3 linked regions of the Drosophila melanogaster genome follow. Changing the gene in region 1 together with any one later gene gives a genetic interaction. Each region holds a gene or a part of one and is shown in the gene's direction. Other genes may lie near its edges.

The links.
Region 2: of kel (region 1) and hts, changing one suppresses a phenotype caused by changing the other (phenotypic suppression), as found in Drosophila melanogaster (one study listed by BioGRID).
Region 3: of kel (region 1) and Prosbeta5, changing one enhances a phenotype caused by changing the other (phenotypic enhancement), as found in Drosophila melanogaster (one study listed by BioGRID).

The regions. Positions count from the first base shown.
Region 1 is NT_033779.5:18,128,669-18,140,034, reverse strand, and holds kel (kelch), read left to right. Parts: upstream 1-1,951; 5' UTR 1,952-2,103; coding exon 2,104-2,558; intron 2,559-4,059; coding exon 4,060-4,461; intron 4,462-5,208; coding exon 5,209-6,421; coding exon of another isoform or gene 6,422-6,447; intron 6,448-6,509; coding exon of another isoform or gene 6,510-7,072; intron 7,073-7,425; coding exon of another isoform or gene 7,426-8,453; intron 8,454-8,514; coding exon of another isoform or gene 8,515-9,261; 3' UTR 9,262-10,151; downstream 10,152-11,366. Other genes in the region: Socs36E (suppressor of cytokine signaling at 36E), read left to right, coding at 1-190; CG5758 (uncharacterized protein), read right to left, coding at 11,091-11,366. UniProt on the Drosophila melanogaster protein: Component of ring canals that regulates the flow of cytoplasm between cells. May be involved in the regulation of cytoplasm flow from nurse cells to the oocyte during oogenesis. Binds actin.
Region 2 is NT_033778.4:19,418,645-19,429,804, reverse strand, and holds the start of hts (hu li tai shao), read left to right. Parts: upstream 1-4,901; 5' UTR 4,902-4,982; intron 4,983-5,690; exon of another isoform or gene 5,691-6,007; 5' UTR 6,008-6,211; intron 6,212-11,160. Other genes in the region: CalpA (Calpain-A), read right to left, coding at 40-267, 326-467, 526-568, 1,261-1,379, 1,443-1,835, 1,898-2,128, 2,187-2,427, 2,484-2,604 and 5 more. UniProt on the Drosophila melanogaster protein: Required for assembling actin at ring canals in developing egg chambers. Probably interacts with other developmental proteins involved in nurse cell/oocyte transport through the ring canals. Important for normal neuromotor function.
Region 3 is NT_033778.4:10,814,936-10,824,776, forward strand, and holds Prosbeta5 (proteasome beta5 subunit), read left to right. Parts: upstream 1-5,042; 5' UTR 5,043-5,063; exon of another isoform or gene 5,064-5,126; 5' UTR 5,127-5,137; coding exon 5,138-5,284; intron 5,285-5,346; coding exon 5,347-6,048; 3' UTR 6,049-6,243; downstream 6,244-9,841. Other genes in the region: CG7222 (uncharacterized protein), read left to right, coding at 1-27, 94-175; dgo (diego), read right to left, coding at 1,261-3,558, 3,614-4,039, 4,106-4,165; Lsm10, read right to left, coding at 6,250-6,675; RpS15Ab (ribosomal protein S15Ab), read left to right, coding at 6,878-7,270; CG12343 (uncharacterized protein), read right to left, coding at 7,648-8,328; CG12325 (uncharacterized protein), read left to right, coding at 8,765-8,782, 8,836-8,948, 9,004-9,841.

The DNA.
Region 1 (11,366 bases):
AAGGCAGACCTTCTCCCTGCAGCAGCTCTCCCGGGCGACCATTGTGTCCAACACCAGCTACGACGGGATCAACCAGATGGAGCTGCCCGGTCGGCTGAAGAGCTACCTTAAGGAGTATCACTACAAGCAGAAGCTGCGCGTCAAGCCCATCGACCAGAACACCCCGATGCCGTACTACGGCAATGTATAGCGGGAGGAGCAGCAGGTGGGCTTCACCTACTACGAGGACGTGGAGAGCGGCAGCGAGGTGGACGAGGACGACGACGAGGGGGTCAACATACGGGTCTCCTACGTTCAGCACGCCGAGGTGGTGGCCCAGCTGCAGCAGGTCACCACGGCGTCGGGCCCATCGGCTCCGTCCTCATCCAGATCGTCCAATCTTCAGGAGCACCTCAGCAGGCTGCCCAACCGCATGGCAGCCGCCTTTGGTCGGATGTCGGCCAATCTGAATTGCTACCAGAAGACTGTCGCCACGCCGGAGCGTCACTCCAACTCCTCCTGAGGATCAGGACGTGGACGGAGGGGCAAACAGAACCCAGAAACCAAAACTCAAACTGAGACAATCCCAGTGCAGCGTGTGCCGCCACCATAAGTTAAAAGATCAAACGCGAAGCCACATAACAAAATCGCTAGCTCGCTACTACAAGACTGTCATGGATCAAAAACCAAATGTTCACCATATATATCTCACCTATTGGAATGCAGCTCGGACGGATTTTTGAGTTGTGGCACTCTTGAAAGCGAGCTGGTAGAATGTAGAATCGAAATCGCAGTTAGCTAATTGTACTATAAACTAAGTATTATTATCTAAAGCAACCCTCTCTCCTACACACATAAGTATTGCAAAAAGAAGGGCCAATCGAGCTTTTCGTAATCGCTGGTATTCTTGTAATATTTCATTGTATTTATTTGAAGTATGGAATCTAAATGATGTGTTACTGTTACGTGTAAATACGAGATACGAATGCAGCTTAGTTAGTGTAAAACTCTCTCATTAGCCAAATTTCCAAATGTAATTTTCGCCTATTTATGAATATACTTTATTTATTTATTCGAAGTGATTTCGTTCGCAAGCGAGTGCTTTGTTTAAAAAGAAAAAACCCGTCAGTTGTACACGTGTAGAGCATTTGTAAATACTACCGATTTTCGCATTAAGCTGTAGCTATATTAATATAATGAATTATAAATCATGTATTCCTACCTAGGTGGTTGCTGTTATTCGTAAACATTCAATAAGCAGTTGTTTCCAATACCTATTTAATGTATTTTACATATCTCACATGTTGATGAGCATGCGTATCAATATTCAAAAACAAAATCGAAAAAAGAGTCAAACAAATAAAGTTGATCAAGATATTAGAAAAAATCTCAAAGTGTGTTTTGAATCAGAAGTGTGGAATCATAATCAACCCAAATGATTGATGTATTTTAATATCTTTAACAAATGAATGTTTAACTCATTCGTTATTTTCATTATAAAGTCGTGAATTCTTTATAAAATGAGAGTAATCAACTAAAATCTATAGATTTCTATTTATTTTATTTTATATCTATAAAATATCTATAGATATTCTATCAAGATTATGCTGAACTAAACCTTTTTTACTTTCTTTTATGGAATTCGAATATGCAATCTTAATGAATTCTGTGTCGCATATTTGTAATCTTTTTGCAATTTTATTTATATATTTTTATAAGATGAATTAGGTATGCTTTTTTTAAGTTTAGGTAAATGTGGAATATTAGTTTGTATATCAATTTAAAAATCACACTTTTTGAAACGTACGTATAAATAAAAATTAAAGGGGAGAGGTCATATTTAAGATGTAATTCAAGTGAATTACAAAAATTCAAAAATTAAATGACTTTATCATTAATTTTATAGTTGGAAACAAAGCCAGCTCAGTGAGAACTGGTTGAAAATGCCTATCGGACTATCGATGAGTATTCATCGCTAGTGGTAACTTGCGACCAACCCGAGGCTGGTCACACTGCTCTGGTCGCGTCCAAAAAGTGTACAATTTTTCACCACCTCGGTTTGTTTTTTCGGACCAGGCGAGGCACCTTCGATTCGCTGCGACTTCCGTTTCCGATCCGTTTCGGATGATAGCTCTGAGTGCGCTGCTAACCAAATATACGATCGGTATTATGAGCAACCTAAGCAATGGCAACAGCAACAACAACAACCAGCAGCAGCAGCAACAACAACAGGGTCAGAACCCACAACAACCAGCACAGAATGAAGGCGGAGCGGGAGCGGAGTTCGTGGCGCCACCGCCCGGACTAGGTGCCGCAGTGGGCGTGGCAGCCATGCAGCAGCGCAACCGCCTGCTGCAGCAGCAACAGCAGCAGCACCACCACCATCAGAATCCCGCCGCCGAGGGAAGTGGCCTGGAGCGGGGCAGCTGCCTTCTGCGCTACGCCAGCCAGAACTCCCTGGACGAGAGCTCCCAGAAGCACGTCCAGCGGCCAAATGGCAAGGAGCGCGGCACTGTGGGGCAGTACAGCAATGAACAGCATACGGCGCGCTCCTTCGACGCCATGAACGAGATGAGAAAGTAAGGATGGCACGAGATCCTGTCGAAGGATCAGTTCGTACGACTATAAAATTTGGTTAAGTCCTTAAGCATCATAAAGAAGTAGCCAGGGTTTCTAAAGACCTTAAGGCAGTATATTTAGATCCACAAATAGTATTATATCCTAATTCCTACCTGTGAGAGGTTTTAAAAACCTTAGGTAGAACATTGGTTATTTTGTACCTGCCCTGGAGAATAGAACACACAGCACCCACATAGGACTTTTAATGATATGCAGAATTAGATCTATGTGATTTTATAGCCTGATTATGTAAATAAGCACACCTACAACGGTTCGAAAAATGTTTCAAATGTCATTTGTTTGCTCAACAGCAAACCAGCTGAACGTTCGTTCAGGTTCTAAAAAGGTGTCAGCTATTTCCCAGTTACTATTTCCTTGACAAAACAAGCTGATCTGAGTTTCTACCACTAAAACTTTCAGTTGTTAAATATGACGACCTACCTCAACTTAATATAAATAGAACTGTGCTAACTACACTCTATTATAAACTCATCTCCTCTGTTCCCGGACAAAGGCGCATGATTCAATCCCTGCGTGTTCGACGGGAACAGGTGGACCGACTGGCTCTCGAGCTTTGAGATTTGGGCCAAGATGCGAAAATAAAATCTCTGAAAATGTCAGATGATCGTCTCTCGCATATTTGCGCAGTTCGCTTTGTTTATCTGGCCGTTGCTAATATTTGTGTTTGCACACTACATATGTATAAACGAATATTTGCCGCCGCTTTTGTCGTGGGGCCATTCGCATTAATTATTGTCTAGTTTTTATTATGATGAGTTGCTTACGCCTTCGGGTTTCGCATTGGGCCACGACCTTGAACTTGGTTGCGGCCAAAAATGATATTCGTTTTCGAATCGCATTTCGATTCCGCTTCCGCGTCTCCGCCTTTGCTTACTTTTTGGAAAACTACTGGGCGTATGGAAAATTTATTGGTAGCTTACATAAAACGAGTTTTTTTTTTCGGACCAATCATATCGTATTCGGCGCGAAAGTGAATGTGGTATAACCCAAAAAGTAAGCCGAGCGTTGTAATGTGGATTGCTTTTTGATTGGGAATTGAATCACACAAATATTTCGTGAGGTGTATATTCTATGAGATTTTTTTTATTGGGTTATAATTATAACACCTTACGATTTTGAAGACAAAAGATCTTAGTCTTTTCGAGTAGTCATCATCATTTAATGGCGCCATAATTTGCACAGTTAATAGCATCCCCGTCTCTTTTTACAAAACAAAATATTTTCCTCTTGAAAAAATTCAAGCACTTTTGTTTACAAACATACATACCAGCCTTGAAGATATTTAGCACGCTTTTAAACTGTTTATTTGGCAATCAAAACGATCTATTGCTAGTGGATTTCAAAGTCTCAATATTGTCGATACATGACGGTTACTAACCAATTTACTGCGTACAAAAAAATGTATCAAATCTGATATATATATATTTTTACCTATAACAGACAAAAACAGCTCTGTGATGTGATATTGGTGGCCGACGATGTGGAGATCCACGCTCACCGCATGGTGCTGGCCTCCTGCAGTCCGTACTTCTATGCGATGTTCACCAGTTTCGAGGAGTCGCGGCAGGCGAGGATCACCCTCCAGAGTGTCGATGCTCGGGCCTTGGAGCTGCTCATCGACTACGTATACACTGCCACGGTGGAGGTAAACGAGGATAACGTGCAAGTCCTCTTGACCGCCGCCAACCTGCTCCAGCTCACGGATGTGCGAGATGCCTGCTGCGACTTCCTGCAAACTCAGTTGGATGCCAGTAATTGCCTCGGCATCCGGGAGTTTGCCGATATTCATGCCTGCGTGGAACTTCTCAATTACGCAGAGACCTACATCGAGCAGCATTTCAAGTAAGTGGCTAGATTGTGATGACGCAGTATGGGCAGACAAATATAAAATTGTTTTGATTTGCCTGTTTACAGATAGGAATCCATTACTGTATCTGTTCAGTGTTCACTTTTAGAGCATGTATATTGGGAAGACTCACTTTAGTTTGTTCTATATCTACGGATAGTAATTCGTATTTAAATTCCAGTGAAGTGACTATTTATTTATTATTTATTGAGGATAGAAAGCTGCCGTACAACAATATCAATTGAATCGATTAATGGGATCAGATATTTTAATAATTATAGTAACATTTAATAACATGTGTCAAGTTAAAGTTCCTTAGACTCAACAAAAAGGATTTTTAATTATATTATAAAAACGATTAAATTCCTAGGTGTGTTTGGAATGTATCAAAATTTAAATAGTTTAACAGTCACGCATTGGTGTCTTCCAGCATCTGTTTGAAGTCGCTAATTTTGGGTTTCCATAAGATCACGAATTTAATCTTATATTAATTATATTTTCGAATTCAACTACTGAATTAGTAATAACCAAAGTATCAGAATTATATAAGTTCTCATTGATTTCATCAGGCAGAAACAAAATTAGTTAATTATTAAGTTTATATAACAGTAAACAGACGCAAAACCGAAAGCAAATGTGCAATATAAACCATTGAACCGGTTGCGATTAATTAAATTTACTTAGCCCACTCCTCTCATTCCTTGCGCCCCATTACTAACTGCTTGTGTTTGGTTTATTTGCAGCGAGGTGATCCAGTTCGATGAGTTTCTGAACCTCTCGCACGAGCAGGTCATCAGCCTGATTGGCAACGACCGGATTTCGGTTCCAAATGAGGAGCGCGTATACGAGTGCGTCATCGCCTGGCTGCGCTACGATGTTCCTATGCGGGAACAGTTCACCTCGTTGCTCATGGAGCATGTGCGTCTGCCGTTCCTGTCCAAGGAGTACATCACACAACGTGTGGACAAGGAGATCCTCCTCGAGGGCAATATCGTGTGCAAGAATCTCATCATTGAGGCATTGACCTATCATCTACTGCCCACTGAGACAAAGTCCGCTAGAACGGTGCCCAGGAAGCCGGTGGGCATGCCCAAGATACTGCTCGTTATTGGAGGACAAGCACCCAAGGCTATACGATCGGTGGAGTGGTATGATCTGCGAGAGGAAAAGTGGTACCAGGCCGCCGAAATGCCCAACCGCAGATGCCGCTCCGGCTTAAGTGTCCTGGGTGACAAAGTCTATGCTGTCGGAGGTTTCAATGGATCACTGCGTGTGCGCACCGTAGATGTCTACGATCCTGCCACGGATCAGTGGGCAAACTGCAGCAACATGGAGGCCAGACGATCTACCCTGGGAGTAGCTGTCCTCAATGGTTGCATATACGCCGTGGGTGGATTCGATGGCACTACGGGTCTGTCGAGTGCCGAGATGTATGATCCCAAGACTGACATCTGGCGGTTTATCGCCTCCATGTCCACGCGTCGCAGTTCTGTGGGCGTAGGCGTCGTCCACGGACTTCTTTATGCCGTGGGCGGTTACGATGGCTTCACTCGTCAGTGCTTATCTTCAGTGGAGCGCTATAATCCGGACACGGACACATGGGTTAATGTGGCGGAAATGAGTTCGCGGAGGAGTGGCGCCGGAGTGGGAGTGCTGAACAATATCCTTTATGCCGTTGGCGGTCACGATGGTCCCATGGTCAGAAGATCTGTTGAAGCCTACGATTGTGAAACGAACTCCTGGCGTTCAGTGGCAGACATGTCATATTGCCGGCGAAATGCGGGAGTGGTGGCTCATGATGGCCTGCTGTATGTGGTCGGTGGCGATGATGGCACCTCAAATCTAGCTTCTGTGGAGGTCTACTGCCCGGACTCGGACAGTTGGAGAATACTGCCTGCTTTGATGACCATCGGACGCAGCTATGCGGGCGTGTGTATGATCGACAAGCCCATGTGAATGGAAGAGCAGGGTGCATTGGCCCGGTAAGTCAATGGAAGCATTGTTACCAAAACAAATTATAATAATCTCTCTTGTTTCTTTTCAGCCAAGCTGCTTCGTTGGCCATCGCACTGCTGGATGATGAGAATAGCCAGGCGGAGGGCACGATGGAGGGCGCCATTGGTGGTGCCATCTACGGTAATCTGGCGCCGGCTGGTGGGGCTGCAGCGGCTGCAGCTCCAGCTGCGCCGGCTCAAGCTCCCCAGCCAAATCATCCGCACTACGAGAACATCTACGCGCCAATTGGACAGCCCAGCAACAACAACAATAACAGCGGCAGCAACAGCAACCAAGCTGCAGCCATCGCCAATGCCAATGCCCCTGCAAATGCCGAGGAAATTCAGCAACAACAACAACCAGCTCCCACTGAACCTAATGCCAACAATAATCCGCAACCGCCAACAGCAGCAGCTCCAGCACCATCACAACAACAACAACAACAGCAAGCACAGCCACAACAACCTCAACGCATACTGCCCATGAATAACTATAGGAATGATTTGTATGATCGATCTGCCGCCGGCGGAGTCTGCTCCGCCTATGATGTTCCGAGAGCCGTGAGATCTGGCCTTGGTTACAGACGCAACTTTAGGATTGATATGCAGAATGGTGAGATTAAGAATAATATTAAGCAGAAGACAGTTACACTAGCTTGATTCGTACTTTTAAGTATGAAGTGCTCAAAAGTTGTCTTTCAATTAACCTCTTTTTGAACGGTTGCTTGTGCTATATAACTTTGTACGTATCGGTTTGCCTTCATTTTCGTGAATATTTTAAGCAAACAGCCTTTTTAAATGTTGTGAGGTAGGAAGCAAAAACCATTTAAACTTCAAAACAAACACGAAGTTCAAATCAATTATTAGTTCTTAACGGCCCACATTTAAATCAGCATTTAAACGCATAGTTTCTAACTTTTCGTATAACAAATGAATTTTCATTAATCGCTATATTTTCCACTCTAGGAAATCGATGTGGAAGCGGTCTTCGTTGTACTCCACTTTATACGAACAGTCGATCCAATTGTCAACGCCAGCGCAGTTTTGACGACACTGAGTCCACGGACGGCTACAATTTGCCTTACGCCGGAGCGGGAACAATGCGATACGAGAACATCTATGAGCAGATTCGAGATGAGCCACTTTACCGCACATCCGCTGCGAATCGAGTTCCGCTCTATACACGTCTCGATGTTTTGGGTCATGGAATCGGAAGAATTGAAAGGCACCTTAGCTCGTCATGCGGCAACATCGATCACTATAACTTGGGCGGACATTACGCGGTATTGGGACACTCGCACTTCGGAACCGTGGGACACATTCGATTGAACGCCAATGGATCGGGAGTAGCAGCTCCTGGCGTAGCTGGGACCGGCACTTGCAATGTTCCAAATTGTCAAGGTTATATGACAGCAGCTGGATCCACAGTTCCGGTGGAGTATGCAAATGTTAAGGTTCCTGTGAAAAACAGTGCCTCCAGTTTCTTCAGCTGCCTGCACGGTGAGAACTCGCAGAGTATGACCAATATTTACAAAACGTCTGGAACGGCAGCTGCCATGGCTGCCCATAATTCCCCATTGACGCCAAATGTGTCCATGGAGCGAGCATCCCGATCGGCGTCCGCGGGGGCAGCTGGATCAGCAGCAGCAGCTGTTGAAGAGCATTCTGCGGCAGATAGTATTCCAAGCTCATCCAACATTAATGCCAATCGGACAACAGGAGCCATTCCGAAAGTGAAAACAGCTAACAAACCCGCTAAGGAGTCGGGAGGATCCTCCACGGCCGCATCGCCAATTTTGGATAAAACTACATCCACTGGATCGGGAAAGAGCGTAACCTTGGCGAAGAAAACTTCTACAGCAGCAGCACGCTCGAGCTCATCTGGAGATACCAATGGCAATGGGACTTTGAATCGTATCTCCAAGTCCAGTTTGCAATGGCTACTAGTAAACAAATGGCTGCCGCTGTGGATTGGCCAGGGACCCGATTGCAAGGTAAAAAACATTTTCTCTTCTTTTTACCTCGAACGAATCTGACTATGTACGTCCATATTAGGTAATTGACTTCAACTTCATGTTTTCCCGTGACTGCGTGAGTTGCGATACAGCTTCAGTGGCATCTCAGATGTCAAATCCGTATGGCACACCCCGTTTGAGTGGTCTTCCCCAGGATATGGTACGCTTCCAGAGTTCCTGCGCTGGAGCTTGTGCGGCAGCCGGAGCAGCTTCTACAATACGAAGAGACGCAAATGCATCAGCTCGCCCACTGCACAGCACTTTGAGTCGCCTGAGGAACGGTGAAAAGAGAAACCCCAATAGGGTGGCTGGTAACTATCAGTACGAGGATCCTTCCTACGAAAATGTGCACGTTCAGTGGCAGAATGGTTTTGAATTCGGAAGATCCCGCGACTACGATCCCAATTCCACCTATCATCAGCAGCGCCCTCTGCTGCAACGGGCTAGATCGGAGAGTCCCACCTTCAGCAATCAGCAGAGGCGACTTCAGCGGCAAGGAGCTCAAGCTCAACAGCAATCGCAGCAGCCTAAGCCTCCTGGGTCGCCAGATCCCTACAAGAACTACAAACTTAATGCTGATAACAACACCTTCAAGCCTAAGCCTATCGCTGCCGATGAACTCGAGGGAGCTGTTGGTGGAGCTGTAGCTGAAATAGCGCTTCCTGAAGTGGATATCGAAGTTGTAGATCCTGTCAGCTTAAGTGATAACGAGACTGAGACAACCAGCAGTCAAAACAACCTTCCAAGCACTACCAACAGCAATAATCTGAACGAGCACAATGATTAAATGTGGATAAAATAAGTTGCTTCTGGTAGATCAGCGTTGTAGTTAAAATATTTAAGTATGGAGTTAAACTTCTCTCAAACTCATAAATTTTGTACGGCTTTTACGATTTTATATTAAAAGTAAGCTGGGTTTTATATTTATATTCAAAAGTGATACCAGTTTATAGTAGAAAGACCAGTTTTTACTTCAGTTTTCAATTCGCTATGTGCAAGGAATTTTTGTAAGATTTTATGTCTCCAGGGACAGAGAACTTTTACTGTGCGGAATTTCTAATTACAACGCTGCTCTACAAAATTGGATCTCAAAACAATACAAGCATAACGAATCGACCAAATGAACTTCGAGCAAAATTATAAATTCATTTTAAAAATCAAAAAGATATACACTTAAACATTGTAGAATTTGATATTACTCTAGAATCGGGCGACTTTGTGTGACCAGCCAACGCTCAAGATCGTATATTATTATGTTGCATACTGTAGTTGTAGTTGAAACAAGAATTTTTGTGTGTCATGTCGAGTTATAGGTAACCTAAGAGCCACATCATATCACTCTCCGTAACCACTTTAAGCAATATGCATTTGATATGATAGTTCCATTATTTTTCCACTGCCTACTCAAATTTCCATTACCCCATGGCATTTGGCACATGGACCGCTTCGTTTCAGTATGTTAAGTTATGGCTTTAAACCGGAACAATAATATTTAGCCAACTATTGTACAAGCTCTCCACTAGAATCCTATTGTTTAAGTCAATTAGAGTTACAGGTATTATTTACATGCATATACATATATACAAGCGCATATACAATACTCCAGATCGGTACATAAATATAATCATACTTACAAATGTATTGAGTTTAACTAATTCATAATAAAATAGTTCAACGAAATGCTATGCGACTGGAATTATTTTTCTGGAAGATTTTTGTTTTTATTTTAACAAACTATTATAAAATTGGATGCTCCGTTCTCATTGCTTTGTTGTTCATATACACAGATACATTAAATATCAATACCGTAAATTAAAAAATACAATATCTGTTCGTAATATACTCGTTCTATAGATATATCATGCCAGGGATTTTTGCGTTTGAATTTTGGTCGCTCTAGGCTCGATTCGCCGATTTAGCCGATATGTTTTCCTATGCTCCCTCATATGGATAGACTCAAAAAAGCATAAACACTGATGAGCGCTAATGTGCATAGTATACGTATATTTTTATATTTTTTGAAATTTTGCTTCTAAATCCAATATTACGGGAATGCTTTATTCTTACTCGTTTACTCTTTAAATATTTGTAGTAATTTGTTGGCTGCAATTTCTCGCTATGTCTACAAGCTTTGTCTAAATCGCTGATAAGTTCTTTAGGATTAGATTTTATATATTTGCTGTTGTCGCTGCTGCTGCTGCTCTTGATGTTGACTTTGTAGTATACTTCGTTTCACCGCCTCGTTCAATGCTAAACTTAAAACATACATGAAAAACTAAGAACTAAACTAGAAAAATTCGTTACAAAATTAGCCCAGAACTATACAAAAACGCTTTTAGCGCTCGCCTCCCTCTCACATTCGTTCCTCTAACGCAGATCAATTGCAAAAAAATATTGTACATACTGCTAATTAATTGCCAAAATAATATAAAGCGACAATAGACTAATTGTCGAAGGGCCTGGAATGTCTCCTACTTCGGAAATAGACTGATACAAGACTCGAAGGCCGATTGAGGGATCCCAAAAACAATCTCAAAGTGCCGCCTGTGTTATTTTCGCATTTACCATCGCGATATATATACTCTGACACTAACCCAGCTGTCATGATCCCGCCCTTTACTTGGGCAACTCATAGATCTGGACGGGCAGCGCCTTGGGCGTGATAATCTCATCCTCGAAGTCCTCGTCATCACCGTGGATGGCATAGTCGCCGCCATTGTGCTCCCCCTCGAACTCGTTGGGCACGATTTCCACGTCGCTGGGCCGCGAGGTGCTCCGTGATCCTCCGCCGGAATCGCTGCCGTGCCGATTGGATCTCGTCTTGGTGGACTTGCTTACGAAGTCGCGCAGCATGTGCGAGTACAGGATGTCGTCCAGGTAGTACATGGTGCC
Region 2 (11,160 bases), on another chromosome or scaffold:
ATTCTAGTCTTTTTTAAAAGCGTATATATATCATCTTACCATTTGCTGTTACAGGACCTCCATCCGCCGGATTGTCCCCTATCAGCCTCTTGTTCGACTGATCATTCATTCCCAACTGCTCCTCGAATGGCGTACCCTTCAAAAACGGTCCACAAATCAAGGATAAAAGTCCACAAGCGCCAGCTCCATCGTCACCAGGGCCAGCAGCCTGGGTCTCAAAGGCCATGTTATTGGAGAAACGGTTGAAAACCACTGGTTTGGGTAAATCTGAAAGGAAATCGTTGTTTGAAAAGCCATTTGAGTAGTTTTTAATCTCGAGCCTTACCGTCCCTCATCGAATGGTCCAAAATGCGTTTCAATTCCATCCAATCCACCTCCATGTCCTTGCCGGCAATGCTGTCGAAGAGGCGTCGCAAGCCCTCCTTCTGAGGATCGATGGGCTTGGGTGTTGGGAATCCTGGCGTAATCTTTAAAGCGAAATTTCTGAATAAGCGATCCCGATCCCATTGACCACAGTTAACTTACCGTATCGGCTTTGCCGCCATAACCCACATGATCATCATTCTCTCTAGATGGGAGTGAAAAGCGAAATGATTGATATTGAAATGAATGGAAAACAATTCGTTTATAGAGAAACAAATGGAATACAATACAATTTACAGTACAAGGATTTCGAATGGCCTAATGAGTATTGAGAAGCAGATTTTCAAGATGAGCTTAATTTGTTGGGGTCCATTTTTAAAAGTATATTGTTGTGGAAGTTTCCTTTATTATTACTTTAATAAATATCTCGTTACATGACAAAAATACAATTTAAACAAGGGTTAAAAATAAACCGAAAAATTTAACTTTGTTAATAGATTTCACTATGTTGCTGCCGCCACCCTTTTTATAACTGATAAATTAAGAAAATTGAACTTCATATTGATCAGAATTATTCTTAACATGTAACAGACAGACCGACATTACATTTGAATTTATCTAGAAGAAATATATTTCGAGTTTCTGGAATACTGCAGGCGTTAATCTCAGGTAAAAATATATATAAGAGGAGTGATTAAAAAATGGCATAACCAACTTATCTGTCAGGAATGTGTAGAGGGTAAAGAAACAAATCTAGTCAAACATTTACTAGCACTAGAGATTAAAGAATACTATAGTCACAACATACCACATATTGCACGTAAGAAGCTTTTAGTTATAGAAACCCCTCATTATTTCTAATATACAAACTCATTGTCATTGTCTACTTGTACGCACTCCATGTTATTTTGAGTTTCTGAGAACACTCGAATGATGAACTCTCCCTCCTCGTTTGGATCGAAAGTTGAAGGCACAATCAGGTAGTGACCAGGAGGCAATTTGAAGCGAGCACACACCTAAATAAGAAACGCATATGTTAAGTGATTGCAGCCATATCCTGGATATATCCGTATACGTACTTCGCGGGTGTTGATAAAGTGCGGCGATCTTCCCACAGAAGACTTGTATCTGAAAAAGTTCAGACCCTGGGGACGGTTTTCCAGTTCGCGATCATTAAGGCTATAGATAGCGAAACCAATGGTCAGACACTCCATTCCCATATTGCGCTTCGATCTGCGATTCTTTTGCATTAAGGCCACGATGACGGTGCACTGTCCCTCTTCGTCTTCCTCATCAGGATCGACTAGGGTGATAATATACTGGGGGTTGTGCCAGAAGGTATCCAGGAAATTGCGGCAACCACCAGCTGTAACACCGGGTGTCCATTCTCCCTCATACATGGACATCTCCCACTTTCGCTTGCCACTGTTTTGTTGGTCCTCGGTCAGTGAGTCCGGCGACAAATTGCAAATCTGAACAAAATCATGGCGAATGAATCATGAAATATTTCACCAAGAAATATTAATAGTCCTACCTCCACGCGATCGAAGTGGTTAAGAAAATCTTGGAAGGACATCCAGAACTCTCCGTCTCTGTCGAATGTTAGTCCAATCTCCGCCTTCTGTTCCTCGGGTATATAGCGCCATTCTGGTGAGCTATCACTCCATGGTCCATTCCACTCGGCTTCATTGCCCCAAGGATTTCGCATTCTTATCATAGGGATCTTTCCCTGACGATTTGGCGTTACTATGTCAATAAGGCAAACCTGTTGACATAAGATTAATTAATAAAATGTTCTTATCATAGCAATTTTCCGAACAAACCTTGGTTATGGAGTAAGCGTGACCACGGATTAAGCCCTGAGGAGTTTCTGCCTCCGTGACATTTGGATCAGGCTCAATCGAGCATCCCATCATGGAATTGCGTTCAGCTGCTTTTTGCAGAATGGTGAATAGATTGCCGGGTGCTTCTTTTAAATCGTACCACTCGGATACGCCGCCAGTAAAGTCCTCCATGGCCTCGCAAGTGCTGCCTCCCTTTAGTGCCTCGTAGGATCCATGAAGTCTAGAAAGCATATATACATCAGTTGACCATAAAGTATGTGAATAATGTAGTCCTACTTGGCATAAGCCTTCTCCAGCAGGGCGCTCCAGAACTCGTTCTTCTCCGTGGAGTGCATGTACATCAGCTCTCCATTATAAGTGGGCAAACGGTCATCAATGATTACATCAACCCATTTACCTTAAAATTTTAAACTAAAATTGTAAGAAGCGCATGAATAATTTTTTTAATAAATAATTTACCATACTGCCAAAAGCGGAAATGGAAGATACCAGCATAGTTCTCCTCGAAACTCTGTTCCGCTGGAATTACCCGAAAGAAAAGGTTGGATTCCTGAGTTAAATTGGCTGTGGCAGCCAAGAGCCAACTGTAAATGTAAGCATTTATTTAAAACTATTAATTATTCTGGCTGCGGAAATAGAGATTTTGTTCTTACCAGTCACCAAGCTCGCCTTGCTGAACATCAAAACGCGAATAACCCTCCACAAAAAACTGGGGATTCTCGGCAATTTCCTTTATAATTAAAGCATTTATACCTTTAGTTACGGGTAATATGGTAGTATCTAAAACTTACATGAGGTCTCAGCCATTCGATGTGACGATCTGGACGCCGGGAAAACTGAAGAGACTCGTTCGAAGCCGGAAAAAGTGGATCTTCGAAAAGGGAACCACTGGCCAGGCAGCTGTTCAATATTGTCTCATAGTCCTGCACCTCGGAATAGGGTCCCAGGCTCGAGCTCTTCTCTCCCAGCTAAAAAATACATGCTATTAGTGATATGAATCTAACAAAATTGATGAACTTGATTAAGAGTATTATGTATGTACACGATAAAGTTGTGTAATGGAGTTGTATAAACGATGATGCGTTTTACACTTTACATGCGAAAGAAAAAGAACACAAGGACAACACAGTACGACACTTTGGCAGCGCATTATCCTTGGAATGGAATTATGTCAATGCCATTACGATGACGGGAGTAGGTACTTACGTTCCCATAGTACAACGTACTATTACTTTGAGATTGCAATGGTTGCTAATGAGTGGAATGTATATGTATTTGTTAACATGCATATGTAGATTTCAATGGATTGTTTTCTATGTTTGTTTAGTATAGTATAGCGCCCTATAAATAACTGTTGATAACCGTGTGGGTCAACTTACAACTCTCATATTCTTGATGCTGGGCAGAACCCTCTTGGTGTCGGCCTCCTTCTTGATGAAGATCTCGTTGATCACCGATCCGACCACATCCTTGGCCGCTCCCATTGCAGCCTCACCAGCTGCATTGAGGAACTCCTGTCCCGCTTGCCTCAAGAATCCCCTCAAGTCGTCCATCGTGCAGATATCTGAAAATATATGTACATATATAGTTTAATATCAGTTAGCAGTGTAAGGTGCCGCCTCAGATTAAAAACCCATTAATAAATATTTATTGTTCAAACATTTGATGACTAGTTAGCAACATCCAATATTTTTTATATCGCCCATATTTACTTATAAGCCTCGCGGTGGAATTAAAAGCACACCCAGAGACATAAATATGGTTTAACGAGCATTACAGAATCGTTAGTATTCCCAGTGTGACTGGAAGTCGGGCTAAATGAAATTACTTTAATTCACGCAAACTGAAATTATACTTTGGAGACAAGAATGTCTCGGTTCGCACCCAAATATAATTCAAATGTTTCTACATATACAATGCTGTATTTATACATATGTAGCCGCTATATATATATGCTATATTGTGTGACATCATTCGGAAGCATGAGATTCTCTAGTGACTCAAAGGGTGTGCGCCATTCGGGAGATTAAGCTTCGTTTTTTATCCATATTAAGCCGGGATATTGACATTGACCCATGGAACTACTACATATGTACGACACATATAGGGTATATATTTCTGTGACAATAGTAAATTGGCCTTTAATTGGGGCGAAATATGCTAGATTGGCTGACCCATCTGTTATTGTATTTGCGAACATTGGTAATTCTACGGCGAAACCCAAACAGGTTTGGTAATTAATGCATTCTTCTGGCCTGGCTCATTCCCGTGACCACCATATTTTCGTAAAGAATAGTATATTCGTCATAGGCACTTGATATTTCTAATACTATATATATTTGCCCATTTTCCAACGGACCTTGATTGGTCGAGAGAACGATTTCCGAATCGAATCACGCACTTTCACTCCCCAAAATCACAGCACAACAATAAAGTAACGGAACCACGCACCTTCACCGCACGGAGATATTTACTCACTACAAATATTTATATCTGTAGCTCAACACCTGACTGCTATCGAATGTTTTGGTATTTATTTTTATCGAAGTATTTTGCCGAAATTTGTGATTTGCCAGCCCTATTTCAATGTAAATATATCGATAATCGCCCGATTTTACTGAAAAATATTTCGATAAGAGCATCGATATTTCAAACAAATATCGACCCATTGACATGCGTCAGGTTTGTCCATCCCTAACAAAATCGTAGTACGAAATATCGAAAACGAAACACATCACGCGGGCGAAATTTCGTGAAGTTCAGCATTTACAAATTGTAAGCAGTGGTTTTATCGAACCCATTGACCAATTAGTGGGCTTCTAAAATTAGTGATAGACTTTATTAAATGAAACGAGAAAATAGAGGCGAATACACCCGTACAGCAAATTGACCATCGATTTTTTCACGGCATTGCCGGTGACGAGAATGCGACGCCGTTCATACACACACACGCACGGACACGAATGTGTGTATATGGCGCGGCGCTTGTGTGTGAAAGTGTATTCGTATAAATAATATGACATAATCGACGTGTGCGGCTTAATTGACATAGTTTTTGTGCGAAGAATACCTAAAAGTGCGAAGAGAGCGCCAAAAAAGGCGTTTTTTGTTTGTGGTCAAGGTGGCAAAAAGGACTTGCACCGCTATTTTCCCCTGCGCTTTGCTCCAAATATTCGTTCCTCCCCATACACTCTCTCGCACACACACAAGCGTGTATATTTGGGCGTTGCAGGATGAAGAACTCTCTTTCTCTCTCCCACTTTCCTTCGCTCTCTTCTCGTATTCTCTTGAACACTTTTGCGCAATTTGAGTGATTTGCAAGGCAAACTAATGCTTTTCGATTGTTTACCGAATTTAGTTAACCCCGTTTGGAAGCCAGTTTGTCTGGAAGTTACTTCAGTTTAGTTGTTTTCAACATCTCCACTTGACGTTGCCTAACACTGCCCGCCCTCTCTCTCTCGGCTTCTTTGCCACTGTCCGTGCGCAGTTCTCTTTTGCGCTTCATTCGTGCTCTGCCCGTCGGACGTGTCCGTACGATTTTGGATTAAGTTCTCGTAGGCAATTCAACTTGAAATATTTATTCGCTGCGGTGCAACTAAAATTTAATTCAAAGAATTAAAAGTGCTAAGTGCTGTTAGGAGCGGCAATTTTGCAAAAAAAAAAATATTAACAGTTATTTGGTGTAGTGCAAGAAGCCCAAAAGAGAACAAAATTATTTATTTTAAACATATTGCATTCAAGGCAATAAAAAGTTAAATCTATTAAAATTTTCTACCCTCTCCCTCCCCTTTTATTGATAGTCTCCCTCTGTGGCGTATGTGTGTTTGTACGAATTAGCGGCTGAAAACCAAAAACCGAGGTGCGAGAGCGAGAATACATTTATAAAAAACGCGTGCGTTTCTCCTCTAACACATACAGTGAGTGTGACCGTTGTATTTGTGACCTGTGCCTGTGTTAGCGGCCACTGGAGGATCAACGAATTTAAAAGAATACTAAAAGTACCGGTGAGTATTCTTGCATCTACCGGATGATGTGTTATAATCCCGTTAAATAGTGAATGTCCCCTCGTGCCCTGCATTCGTTTTAACCGTTATGACGATGAGCGGCAATTCGGCCGGTGACGCCATCTTTTGTGCTTCTCTAATAAGTGTTGTTTTTGTTTTTTGGGTTTGGTCAAGCTCACGCAACACGGCGTGTGTGAGTGAGTAGTGTGTCTATTTTGTTGTTATGCTTCATAGACAGTGGCGAAACTACAGATTATTATTCAGGGGTCATAAATGTCATTTAAGATCAAGAACATATTATATTTAAATTTATCCGGAAATATGAGCAAATGTTTAAGGTGTAGCACCACATTGACCCCCATTCAGACGCCACTGTTTGAGCTTCTAGTTCTAGCCACTTTTCTTCTCTCTTTCTCTTTTTTCGGGTGGGTGTGATTGTGTGTGCGTGTGCTTTTCCTTTCCATATGATTCATGCTTCTTTCTACCTCCGGCTTTCTATGCGCTTGTCAGATTAAAAAAAAAACCCATTTTCCAATTCTCGTCGCTGATTTTATTCATCTTTTATTTGGCAATTTGTTGCGAATGCCACTTGCAAATCTCTAGCCGTGTGCCTAATGCACTTGGGCAATAAATCCGCCTGCTGGCGCGCATCTGTGGGCAAGTTTCATGACCCACTTTTCCTCCTTGGTCTCTCGCCTTTCAGCAAAGTAAATAGTGAAAAGCAGCAACAAGTGATAAACAGATTTGTAAATATTGAAAACTTGTTTATGCCATTTGTCAGTGCAACCCAATGCCTACAAAATAGACTTTATAGGTATCGGAGGTAGTTCTTGATACTCAGTCAGTTCGATTTTTAAATTTTTTGTTGTCATTCAGAGCCCATCTTGATATTTCTGTAATTTATTGTAATCTTGAACGAATAGGAATTGATAACCTTTTACTTTAATTATTCTTTAACCCAATTCAATGCGCTATGCTTAAATGAAACATTACGCTTATAGAATTTAATATAATTTAAATTAGCAATGTTTCCTATAAAACTTTGTTTTATATATAGCCTTCTATAGATGTTCTTATGCAAGTCATAGGAGTTCGATTGTGTGTGTGCTCTCCCGCAATCTTATCAGAACCTTCGCGCTGGTTACGTTTTCTTGTTAGATTGCTGTTTCTATACAAGTACCTACATATCCACATTACAACAAGCCAACAACATTCCCAATTTAAGTTATAAGGAATTTCTCCTTTGCCACCAACTAACTACCTACCTATTTACAACATTCTTCGATTTCTATTACCTTACTTCCTGTTCTATATACTCATCATATCAAATTCGAGCATTCCATTTGCCTTAGCTACATATTTTGCGATACATGACGTCATTTCGCACACATTGCTTATAAAAAAGGTAAAAAAATAAAATAAAAATTTGCTCTTTTTGTTTGCTGGCTTTTGTTGCTAATTCGAATTTACTCATAGAAATACATGGGCAGTGGGCTTTATTTATTCATTGCTTATGCTGCCTCCCCCTTTATCACCCCTTATCAAGCTTTTCACTTGTTCCTCTTGCTCTGTTGTCCGTTTTCAATTCGCAAATTAGACGTGACTCGTTGGTTGAGGGTTTCAATTGAGGTTTTTTGCACACCGCAAGTTGCATTTAGAGAATTTTCGAAAATCGTTGAGGCATTATTTGTATTGAATTCCATTTGCACTACGAATACTGAAAAGGTGAAGCAGACTCAGTGTAAAAAGACAACAAAAATAATACAAAAACGATTGCTTCCGCTAAAAAAAAGTGACACATAAAAGTATCTACACAGAAAAAAAAACGAAATATGATATAACCTAAACAACATAAAGTAAAGTACGAAATCTTTACGGATTGGAAAATTCTGAATGTTTTCGTAGTCAACGGGTCAACCAAAATAAAATTGACTGCCTCTTTTTTTCTTTGTGTGCGTTTCATTCTCACGGGAGGAAGTGCATAGTTAAAACTGTAAACAATTGTTGAGGAAACTAAACAACAAAAAATGTTTTGGAATGGAAATGAGACGGAAATTCGAAATTGTGAGCCCCCGAAACCATAACAAATAAAACAAATAAGAAAAACGATAAGAAATGCACTTCAAGTATACGAAAAGACTAACTTTCTAACCTTTATTGAGGCGTGTCCGTCAATGCAAATGCATTTGATGGGGCCAACCAGTCCTAATGACTTTTGATTTGGGAACTGAAAATTGTTTACTCAAGCGTGTGCTTATCAAAATTCCCACTGACGTCACATCACTTGTGATTAATTGATTTGAAAATGGTTAGGATTAAGCTGAATAATTTTGATTAATGTGGCTGCAGTGGAGCTCCTCTGCGAGTCTGGCAACTCTGGCTAAGACGAAAAACAAATTTGTCCAAGAGCGAATGCTCAAAATTTATGGCTCCCTAAAAACTGAAAAATAAATTCTACTCTGTTTCTGCCCCAAAGCCAATTGACGTGAAGATGCAACAGAGTGAGACGGGAAAATGAAGGGGAGATAGCCAGCCTGAAAACCCTCACACATAAATAAATAAAAGAGGCGTACGTGCCAAGCTTCAAAACAGAGACACATAAGCAAGATTAAAAAAAAGAGAGATGTTGCTGCTGGCTAAACAACTGCAGCTCATCAATAAAACAGCAAGAACAACAATAAACCAGGCAATGAAACCCAGCTAAAGAGATAGACAGAGACAGCGGCATGCACAGCGACAAGCAATAACAAATGTACAGTTGCAGAAGCAGCACGGCCGCATCGTGCAACAACAAACTGCTGCAACACAACATAAATCTTGGAAGAAAAGAGAGAAAAAGAGTTGTCAGCATGTCGAAGCTTTTACACCCTTTAAAGGTTTTGCTTGGAAGCATATAAAAAAAACTTAATTTAGTAAAAAAAAAAAACAATCAGCATCTTTGCGGTTAGTCTTTAGTATTAAATATATTTCAGTTTTGAGATAGATTTATGGATATTAAGTAAAGTTAAAATGTTTAAACCGAACAGAAAAGCATCCAGCATTTTTCAAAGCTTTCTGAACTCTTTGAAAAATATTTAAATCCACATCATATGTAAAAGATAAAGATCTCCCTACTCAAACAATGCCTTGAAGTGCAGTCAACTGTGTTTGTCACTGTTTGCTGTTGTTATTTCAGCTTTAAAAGCTGGCGACCCGCAGAAGGAAAGCAAAACAATGTGGATAATTATATCGAAAAGTTGGGGAGCGAAGCGGAGAAAAATGTAGACAATTTCTGTTAAGATGGGAAGATGATGATGATGGAGCTGTGTGTCTGCATTTCTTGCCTTCTTCAACATTTCTTGCTTGCATTTCATCTGCGCTGCGCTTGAACTTCAATTGAATTGTATTCTCTCTCCTCTCTTTCATTGCATATATACCCCTCTCTGTCGACCGAAAGTGATTGAAAGCCTGTTATTATGGTGGTCTGATCCGACTGAACTAAATTTAAACTGGAATTTAGGCTAATTTCGTTCTCCGGTTGTGTGGGCGTGGGAAATGGGAACCAGTTCTTATGTTCTTATTTTTTTCCTGTATCTTAAAATTACCACACTTTGTTGTAATTAATGTAAATACTATGGAATTAAGTGTAATTTACATTTGTGGCTGTACAAACGTGACAAGTGGCTGACCATAATACAATAAATGGCACTGCAATTGCTGCTTGCTGCTCTTCCGTCAACCTTTAATTCTAAATACCCTGTCAGATGATTTTCCTCTTTTTAAATGCTAACCCATTTTTGTACCGGGCACAAATGTCGATAAAAAAAATCTGGTTTTTCGAACACAATCTCTGCACTAAAGCATTGCCAAACACGAGGGCAACACAATAAAGCTCTATAAAAAGACCATCATCATTATCATCGGCATATAACAATGAGCTGTGAGCTGAGCTGAAGCAACAATAAGCGCAAACGTGTTGCCGCATAAATGAATTCATAATGCAAAAAAAAAAAAAAAGAAATATTACAAAAAAAAAAAAATGGGGGAGGTTGAAAAAAGCGATTGTGTAGCGCACGAAAGAGGCGGCTTACATAATCGTTTATATCCTCCGAGTTTGTAAATCAACACCAGAAGCGGCTAAACTGCATTAGCAATGCTGTTTCGTTCGTGTCTGGGCTTTCACGCATAAACATTTAGAGAGCATTTATTGGCCAATTTCATTAGACTGCAATTGTGCGTGGCAAGTGAAATGTGCAAGATCACCTGAGCGCATCGAAGAAAGGTGTTATTAAATCAAATTGAATTGTTATTCGGCCATACCCATATGCTTATCAGCTCGTAATGCAGTTAGTAATTTATATGCAAATTTTTCTCGCTTTTCCATGTAGTGATTTTCCTCTGGCGAAGAATTCCAGTTATGCTTTCTGCCTGCCTACCCGTCGATAATTAAATTATTTTATTTTGTTTGCTGGGAGAGTCGTCTCATATGATTGTATTGTTTACTATCTACTCGTGTGTGTGTGTGTGTGTGTCTGGGCGAACCGCAATATAAAATAACGAGTAGTACGAAAATCTTTTAACGTGCTCGAACTAAAAATATTCACATGACATCATCGAAAAGAGGCGCTGACCGCCGAACAGCAGACACAGCATCTCAATAAACTCTCTGTTTGCTATGAAAGACGAGAAAATCGGCCGAGAAAAGGGAAAATGCTCTCTGCTCGGGGAATTCGTTATAGAATATGTACTTTGTCATGGAAAGCCAATTAAGTACTTACTTTTTATTAAGCCAAAATACCAGGAAGTTGACAGTATAGAATTTTGCACAAGTTGTTAGTTTGTTGTGAAACATTTTGATAAAATATTGCTTTTAATTCTGTTAACTTAACGTTTTCTTGTTGGGATTGAGCAAAAAAAAAACAAAAGTTACATTATTACATAAATATCGTACTCTATTGAACTTTAACCAC
Region 3 (9,841 bases), on another chromosome or scaffold:
GCCATTTCTACAAAGATGTTTGCCAAAGTAAGCCTTTCTAAGTGAAACAAAAGCCAAGTTCATGATTATTAACTACTCTATGTTGTTTTTTAGAGAATGGCTGACACCGAATGCCTTGCAGCAAAGCATTACCACAATCCAAGAGCGCGAAGACTCCGACAACAGTCCCCTTTGAGACGTTACCTGACCGAAAATATGTCACTTGGCGACACACAAGCGATCATAGTTCACATAAAACAACAGTCCTGAGACCAACATTGTTAAGTTACGCAGAGCAAAAAGCCGGGTTACTCATGTCACATCAATTTCCAAGCCAACAACGCCCCCTAAATAGAAAGCAACAACTATTATTAATAGACTTAAATTAGGCGATATACATATACATACTTACATAGAACAAACCTACATTGAGACATACTTATACATACATGCGAAGTGACTAAATTATTGGCTATTGTAATTTGTATTTGTAATATGACTATTCAGAATTAAGATATTATTAAGTGGCCGATAAATTTAAGTAGCAGGCGCCGTTCAGCAGCAGTGTCATTTATAGAATTTTAAATTAACTACGAAGACATCGAGAAATCATCATTAGGCACTTGCTAAAATTGTACTAACAATACCGCAGACATATTGGTGAACGATATCAAAATGTTGCCCAATTTACTTGTTTACTTTTGTCAGCGGTGGGGATTTGGTTTTTTTGAATTCCCACCAAACATCGGAGCTCGATTATTGAGATGATTTCCTGGTTGATTTCGTTTACACAATTATACAGAGTTCATAAGCCGCATGTCTATCAAAACACCAAAATGATCTGTTATCAATAAATATATGTACTTGACATTCTGATATTTACACATGCATAAATACTATTATTAAACATTTTTAAAGAAAAATATATTTTGATCGAAAACATTCGGTTGCGTTTGATTTACAAGCGAGCAGGTTGGAACGTTTTTAATATTTTGGGTATTTTTGGGGTCAAAAGTGGAATAACCAAATAATTAAGTACACGATATTCTCATAAATTACGCAGAATATGAAAACACTCAGACCCAAAACTCCTCAACAAAAAACAACAAAATTATTGTACATATATCTTTGTATTATATTTATATATTTTAGACCCTCCAGATTAGATGCATCAGTTGAAAATAAGTTAACTTTTCTTTGTAGTTTAAAACTTGATTACAATTAAGATAAATATGTAGGGATTAGCTATGTACAATGGGAACAGCTGTGGGATTACCGAACTCAAACTAGACTCGAGACATTGTTGTAGAGGCCAACGGCAGACAGCTCGTCCAGATCGATTTCATTGGATGGAAGATTGGGATGAGGCCAGTTCCTTGGCCTTTGATTAACATGGGGCGGCACAATGGCCTGAAAGGTGGGGGACTGCAGAGGCCTATAGGCTACCGCATCCACGTAGTCCACTTGTCTTGGTGGAGCATTTGGATGTGGAATCCTTCCCACGTAAAGATCTTCACTGCGATAGAGACTCGCATTTGGTACGTAGCCGGAGTGCAGCCTTCTCTGCGGAGTTTGCGGAATCGGTGGACGGTGGGGCAGTTCATGGAAGTAAGCATCTTTGGGTATGTGTCTCTCGGGCAGCCCAAACTGGGCGCTACTCCGGTGGGGAATACTATACGTGGGCGAAGGGTTCGAAGAGGTGCCCTCCAAGTGATGGAAGTTATTGTTCAAGCGGGAGTGTGATCTTGCGGCGATCACATGTGCCGTCTGGGAGTCCTGTCGATTGGAGTCAATGGTGTTTTGCAGTTGGGCCACCATATCCCTCACCTGACCAGCGTTCGGCTTCTTTAGGCACTTGATTTCACTGTTCCGAATCTCCACCTTACTCATACTTTCATTGCCATTTTGACGCACTTCTGTTTCCTCGGCGTACTCCATGATGGGATTGGAGTAAAATAAATTCGACATGACGGGATAGTTGTCTTCCAAGCAAAGAGGCTGCCGTTTCATCAGATTGGAGATACCTGCCGCCTCGCTCGCTTGCTCCTTGTAGAGCAGCTTGTCGCCTCCCATTCCCTCGGCAGTTTCATTGACAGCCGTCTCCTCTTTGCCCAGATCCGCGAAGGAGGCATCTTTTCGAAGCGCCTTGATCACCGAGTTCAGCATGTTCTCTCCTCTCCCAATGCGCTGGTAGTACTTATTGTAATCCGGGTGGGGATTGCTGCCCGTGGGTGATGCCTCCCAGTCCCAGCTGTTGGAGTTCTGGGAGGGATTTGAGGTCTCACTGGAGTTCGGATAGCGTCGTATCACGTTGGCGTACTCGTCGAAATTGGGACTATTAACACTCTCTTTATCTTCTCGAAGTTGGGCAGACTCCGCCCTTGGATGGGGATTATAAGGTGGCGATAAGGAAGAAAGCTGGCGCTTGCTCTCCTGTTCGCTGTCCCTTTCCATGATCAGGGTGGTTTTCTCTAAAAGCACTCCCAGTCTTTCGGAGACTTTTAGGAAATCTAGCTTAAGTTCATCTAGCTTCGAGTGCTCCTCTGGTTCCGCCTCTTCTTGCACCTGGTCCTTGTCACCCACTTCTGCCTCTTCTTCATCCCGAGCTTCATTGGAATCGTCATCGCTGTCGCTATCCACCTGGACCTCCGCTGATCGGTGTACTATAGCCTCCACTGCCTGATCTTCCAGGACATCTACACTCCGTGAGTTGGTGAGCCTACCACCTTCGTGGTTGTTTTCCAAGAGCTCTAGACTGCGGCACCTGGACATTGTTCTTTCGATCCTTGAGCTCTTGTTCTGCTGATCGAAGGTGGACCGCATAGGTTCACCTCGTCGCAGGAACTCACTGAGGTGCTGCCTCTTGCTCTCGCATCGCAATCTGTCCTCGATCATCGTTCTTGTGAGCTGTTCAATCTGATCGTTCGTCTTGATTGCCAATGCCTGAACTTTGTGACCTAGACGTTCCTTGGTTTTGTGAACGTATTTCTTCAAACTCTTTCGATTGCAATTTAGTTTGTTTTCAATGTGACGGAAGAAGGGACCGCAATAGCATGTGTTGCCCACGCTGACCGGACCCTTGTGAATATGACCAGCCAAATCCAGGAAGTATTGCTCCCCCGACTTAAGTGGCTCCTTGGGCAGTGTCTCCAGTTTTGGTGAAGGAAAGGCACGCGGATCGGGAAAGTAGTGACAGCCATAGGGTGACCAGTTGATACCCTTGTCCACCACATCCCTTTCACGATCTCTGTCCTTGTCCGATCTGCTGCCGCCCTCCTTGGGTTTCTCCTTGCGATTCCGTATCTTCTTCGGCGTGTTCAGGATCTCGATGATTTCACGGTAGTTCTTCCTGATCGCTATGTGCATGGGGCAGTCGCCTTGTGCGTTTTTAATGCCCAGCCGAGCATCTGCCTCTAGGAGAATCCTTGTCAGCTTCCTGCGACCCATGGCACAGGTGATGTGCAAAGCGGTGTCGCCGTTCAGATTTGTTTTATTCGGATCGCAAAGGGCGGAGAGCAGGATCCGGGAGACTCCTGCATGTCCATATCTGCAGGCGGTGTGCAGCGGAGTATCTCCATACTGAAATTGTTAAACATGTTAAACATGGTTATCACTGATATGATCCAACACTTACATTATTCCGGACATCGGGATCGGCGCCGGCCAGCAGTAGCTCCCTAGAGCTCTGATTGTGACCATTTTGAGCGGCCAAGTGCAGGGCGGACAACCCTTCGTTGTTGGCAATACCCAGGGCGCTATTGTGTAGGGCTTCGATGGTCTGGTGGGCCACCTTCACTCTGCCCTTGTTCTTATCCTTGTCTTTGTCCTTCTGTCCCTTTGCTGCTTTTCCCACCCCCGAGGAAGCGGGTGGCGTGGGGGGCGTGCAGATCAATTTCACGCAGCGACTGAACCCCCGACTGGCGGCCTCATGGAGCGGGGTATTCCCCTGCACGGATTCCCTGGCCAGTCGATCAGCATTGCTGAACAGGAGACCCTCCACCCGGCGATCATCTCCGGCGGCTACCGCCTCGTGCAGCGAAGTCCAATTGCTGGAGTCGGGCTTAAATCAGAAAAAGAAGTTACATCGGTGTAAGATTTGTTGGTTCAGGCAAGTGCCCTTACTTACCCCGGATATCGCATTCGGGAGAGCTTCCTGTTTCGGAATGCGGGAGGATCCATGCTGCATTGTCTGCGAAAATATTCATTATTTATCAAATTTGTTAAATTATAATTTCATTCATTTATCATGATGTGTTGCAATTATAACTTTTTAAGTAACACTTTATCAAAACCAGATAAAATTAAAAAAATTATTTATATTAGAACTACATTTTGTCTTTAATAAATGAAAAATCTTACTTAAAGTACCGTAATTACCGTTAGAATCGTTTATATGTCGAAAATCATATGAAAGATGGTATTCTTTGATATAACCTTGTTGACGACGAAAGAGCTTAACTTGACCTGGGATCAAATGAATCTGATCTTCGATCGCACATTTTCTAGCCGTGTATGCGCATGTATGTGTGCCTCACGTAATGGCGTACCACGTAGTAATTGTCATTACAAATAGAAGTGGGAGTTACCAAAAGCGATCAAATAAAGGACTCGTAATTTGAAATACAACCTTTTTGAGGGTAGATTAAATGTCTTTCATTATAACACATTGATAAAACATGTATGGTTTCTTAAATGTTCAACACTATTACAGTAAATTTCTAGACCTGAAAACCAGGTTTAAAGTGCGCCTAGGTTTTCTCGATTCCCGACTTACTTTTCACTAATTTTAAATCCCGTCTTTGGACCGCAATTTACGCATTGCAATTCGCCACTCTCACGTATTTACACATGTTTACTTTCGACTATTGTTCAGTACCCGACTTTGCAGTATTTGGCCATTGATGGATTGATGGAACGCCCAGAGTTAATTTGGCTTCAAGCCAGGCCTAAAAAGAGACTAAAAGAAAGCCAATCACAGGCAAAATTGGCAACAGGTTTCGAGCTGGGTTGCCGTACCTGCGACAGCTAACGGTGAAGCCGATAGTCTGCATTATTGCTCCAACAGAAGTACGGTCACTCTACAAGTAGGCAACGAATTTTGTTTGTCATCGGCATTTCGCATTCAACGTTTCCAATTGTTTTTTAAGGAGCTTTAAGAATGGCTTTAGCTGAAATCTGCAAGATATCGAATGCTCCGTACATGCGGCCCAATGCCTGGTCATCGGCGGATGTGGAGGAAGAGCAAAAAGGGCTTATGTGCAATCTGGCCAATCCCTACACACTGGCTGCTCCGCCATTCGAGAACGTATGTAGTTAATTAGCTGATCTTCTTGGGAAATTTACTAAAAAATTTGACAATTTCCTCAGCCCCTGCACAACCTTAATCAGATCCAGGCCAATGGCGACAAGACCGGCGTCAAAATCAACTTCGATCACGGCACCACAACGTTGGGCTTCAAGTTCAAGGGCGGCGTTCTCCTGGCAGTCGATTCCCGTGCCACGGGTGGATCGTACATTGGCTCCCAGTCGATGAAGAAGATCGTGGAGATCAATCAGTTCATGCTGGGCACCTTGGCCGGTGGCGCAGCCGATTGCGTTTACTGGGACAGGGTCCTTTCGAAGGAATGCCGCCTTCACGAGCTTCGAAACAAGGAACGCATCTCGGTGGCCGCCGCCAGCAAGATAATGGCCAACATTGCCCACGAATACAAGGGAATGGGTCTGAGCATGGGCATGATGCTGGCCGGTTACGATAAGCGTGGTCCAGGCCTCTACTATGTGGACTCCGAGGGATCTCGCACGCCTGGCAATTTGTTCTCTGTTGGTAGTGGATCGCTGTACGCCTACGGTGTCCTGGACTCTGGCTATCATTGGGACCTGGAGGACAAGGAGGCCCAGGAGCTGGGACGTCGCGCCATCTACCATGCCACCTTCAGGGATGCCTACTCCGGTGGTATCATTCGCGTGTATCACATTAAGGAGGACGGCTGGGTAAACATCTCCAACACCGACTGCATGGAGCTGCACTACATGTACCAGGAGCAGTTGAAGCAGCAGGCCGCTAAGTAGAGTTTTGATTAAGGGAATATAAGATATTCAGTTTGTATACGTTTGAATTTCTTGGAATAAATAAACGTGCTAGAGACTATGTTTTGTGTATAATTGATTGGGCTAATTTGTTTTGCTTTTCATAGGTTTATTACTATAAATGTAGTTGTATGTATGTAATGTATTTTTGGTAAATATAACAAGTACGCATATATTAATAGTTTAGGTTTCCTTATTCTTTTTTTGCTGTGAGATCATTTGCAATGTTTCCTTGTGTCGCACTTCCGCTCGTTTTTGCTTGAATGTCCGCTTTCCGCCCTTGGTTTCCACTCGCTTTCTTCGCAGGACTCCCCGTTCCATTGCGCTTCGAAGTTCCTGCTCGGCATCCAAGTACGAAGGTATGTGGATCTGCCGTATCATTCGATTCCGCACCATAAAGTGATCAAAGGGGTGCTGACCACCATTGCGATCGATGAAAACTGCATGGGTGAGCTCGCAGGTCATGTGTCCATCCGCTACATCGATGATTCCGGCCACAGAGGTCTCGTTGTGCAGATCGATCAGTACGGAATGACCCTGCAGCATCACGGGCCAACAATTTAAGGTGTTGGACACCAAATACTTCTCCCGCGCACTAAACTGCTGCATTATATCGATATGTTTAAAAATAAGTGTTTGCTCTTGGACACGGAGCTGCCAACTCGCTTCATAAGTAATTTGACATTTTCATTAATTAGTTTTGAACTACATCTAAGAGAAGTACTTACGGAAGTTTTCAAGTAAAGGTTTTTTCCCTTTTTCACGTTTGCGTGACGGTCGTGTAAAACAGTTTTGGCAAACAAATCCAGCTATGGTGCGTATGAACGTATTGGCCGATGCCCTGAAGTGCATAAACAACGCCGAGAAGCGTGGCAAGCGGCAGGTGCTGCTGCGTCCCTGCTCCAAGGTGATCATCAAGTTCCTGACCGTGATGATGAAGCATGGCTATATCGGCGAATTCGAGATCGTCGAGGATCACCGTGCCGGCAAGATCGTTGTCAACCTGACCGGTCGGCTAAACAAGTGCGGCGTCATCTCGCCCCGCTTCGATGCGCCCATCAACGACATCGAGAAGTGGACCAACAATCTGTTGCCCTCGCGTCAGTTTGGTTACGTTGTGCTCACCACCTCTGGCGGCATCATGGACCACGAGGAGGCTAGGAGAAAACATTTGGGAGGCAAAATTCTCGGCTTCTTCTTCTAGAGACACCAAGTTCACATCGTAGAGGGATGGAGTTTGATATGTAGATTGACGTTTTATTTCACCGACCATGCATCCAACTATGTACTTTGTGCACAGGAAACAAAGGGCGAAAACGCTACTACGTTCATTCAGAAAACAAACGACGATGAATGTTCACAAAGTTACGCGAAATAAAATGAAAAATTTGGACATCTAATATCGAAATAATGAGTTTACTTTTTAATCTTCCAGCTTCAACATTTCCTACGTTTAAACTTTTATGTGTAAACAATTGGACGATTGTGTGGTATTATAGGCGAATTTCATGTAAACTGCACTTGCAAAAATTATACGTGCACAAATTGAACTCTAATCTTAAGGGTAATAAAATACTAAACTTAAATAGCTGTTCCCCGCTCCAAATTTTGTTTGATCTCGGCTGTATGCTCGCTGTAGAAGCGGTCCAGCTTTTTGTTGAACTTGGAATTCCTCTCGTTGATGAAGTCCACATCCGCATCGTCGTTGTAGATCCTCCTGCGAGAGTACTTCTTGCGGCGCTCTATCTGCTGCTCCAGGTCTGTTACCATTTTGTTAATAGCACCTGGAGTGTCCTTCGTCCTCGAATGCAAAGTGGTGTGTGCTCCACCGTAGAAGGCGTCACCGAGTTCCTCCTTCTGGCGCTCGTACTTTTCCAAATCGCGAGCAGGCATACTCTTGACCAATCGGTTGTACTGTCTAGCTGTTTGAGCTTCGTATGTGGAGAAACCAAGATCTGGATTGTCTTTACGCTTCTTCTTTTTCTCAATGCGATCCGCATCCACAGCGGATACCTCCAAAAGCTTCAAACGCTCGTAATCCTTGCCAGCTGCCTGCGCCTCGGCTCGCGCCTTGTCGTCCGCTAGTATCCATTCCGCCTGTCGCTTGCGAGCCTCCCAGTTCTTGGGGAGCTTCTTGCGAGCGTCCTCTGCCACCACTTCCTGGTGGTTGTCCGTACGCGCCTCCTGGCGCTTCTTGTGTAGGTCCAGCAAACGCGCCTTGCGCTCCGCCAATTTTTCGGCAGCCGTTTTCGTCTTTTCCATAGGTAATTTTTATTAAAAACTTGTTTTGTTTTTAGAAATTGTGAAAATGCGTTGTTTTCCTTTCTTTGATATTTTGGTCGGTTTTGGGCCGCGTTGGCAGCACCAGTAAAAACATCTGTTTCGGAGCGTAGTACAGTAAACAACTGGTATGACAGTTACCGTAAATGTGAAGTGATTATTTTATAACATGAATTCAAAAAATTAAAGTTTAAGCAATGAAGTATTTTAAAAATTAAGTATTATGTTATATATTCTTATAAAGACGTGGCTTATTATTTGCTTTATTCGATGTTTGTCACCGTTGTGGTATATACTGTGCTGCGGGATTTAAGAATGCGTTAGTGCAATTCCATCCTCATGTGCTGTTTACCTCAACACGTGCGGGAGTTTTTGTTTATATTTTAGCTCGTGGTTTTAGTTAAAAGCCCGCCGCAATATGAAGTTTTCCTACAAAGTAATTTGTCTCATAAGTTAATACTACAAATTGCTAATGTCTGGTTTTTATAGTTTTCCAACCTGTTGGGCACAATATATCGTAATGGAAACTTGGTGTTCACACCGGATGGCAATTCCGTTATCAGTCCGGTTGGCAATAGGATAACGGTCTACGATTTAAAAAAGTGAGTTACCGTTTTAAATCCAAAGACTTCATGAATATATTTTATTCCTTTGCAGCAACAAATCGCGCACCTTGTCCCTGGAATCGCGGTATAACTACACGAACATAGCTCTTTCCCCGGATGGAAGTCTGCTCATCGCAGTCAATGAAAAGGGTGAGGCGCAGCTCATCAGCATGATGTCCTGTACGGTGATACATCGTCACAAGTTCCAGACGGGCGTACAGTGCATCTGCTTCAGTCCAAATGGAGCATTCTTTGCCGTCGCTGTGCAGAACGTAGTGTTGATATTCTGTGCACCTGGTGAGATCACAGGGGAGTACAATCCTTTCGTCCTGCGCCGAAGATTCCTAGGTGGATTCGACGATGTCACTTGGCTGGACTGGTCTTCGGACTCTCGACTTTTGGCAATCGGCTGTCGGGATAGCTCCACCAAAATCGTTGCCATCAACTATACAAAGAACTTCCGCACCTATAACCTAAGTGGCCACACAGACGCCATTGTAGCTTGTTTTTTCGAGGCAAACAGCTTGCACTTGAACACCATAAGCCGCAATGGTCAGCTCTGCTTGTGGGAATGCAGCCTAGCTCCCTCGGATTTAGAGGATGCTGAAAGGCCAAAAATCGCTCCCCCTCAAAGGAAGAAGGAAAAGAAGGCAGTATCTGACAATGAGTCAGAAGATGACGTTGAAAATGTAGTGGAAAAGGATGCGTTGAAGGAGGAATCTACCAAGGAAGCCGAAGATGTCAACCATATAAAAAATGAGGACGAGACGAAGAGTCACCCCTTCTTTTACAAAAAAATAACTCGTCATTACTTGGCCGATGAGCCGCGAAAAGAACAGCGGGATGTACAACTGACCGCGGCAAACTACAACACTCGTACCAAGGTTTTG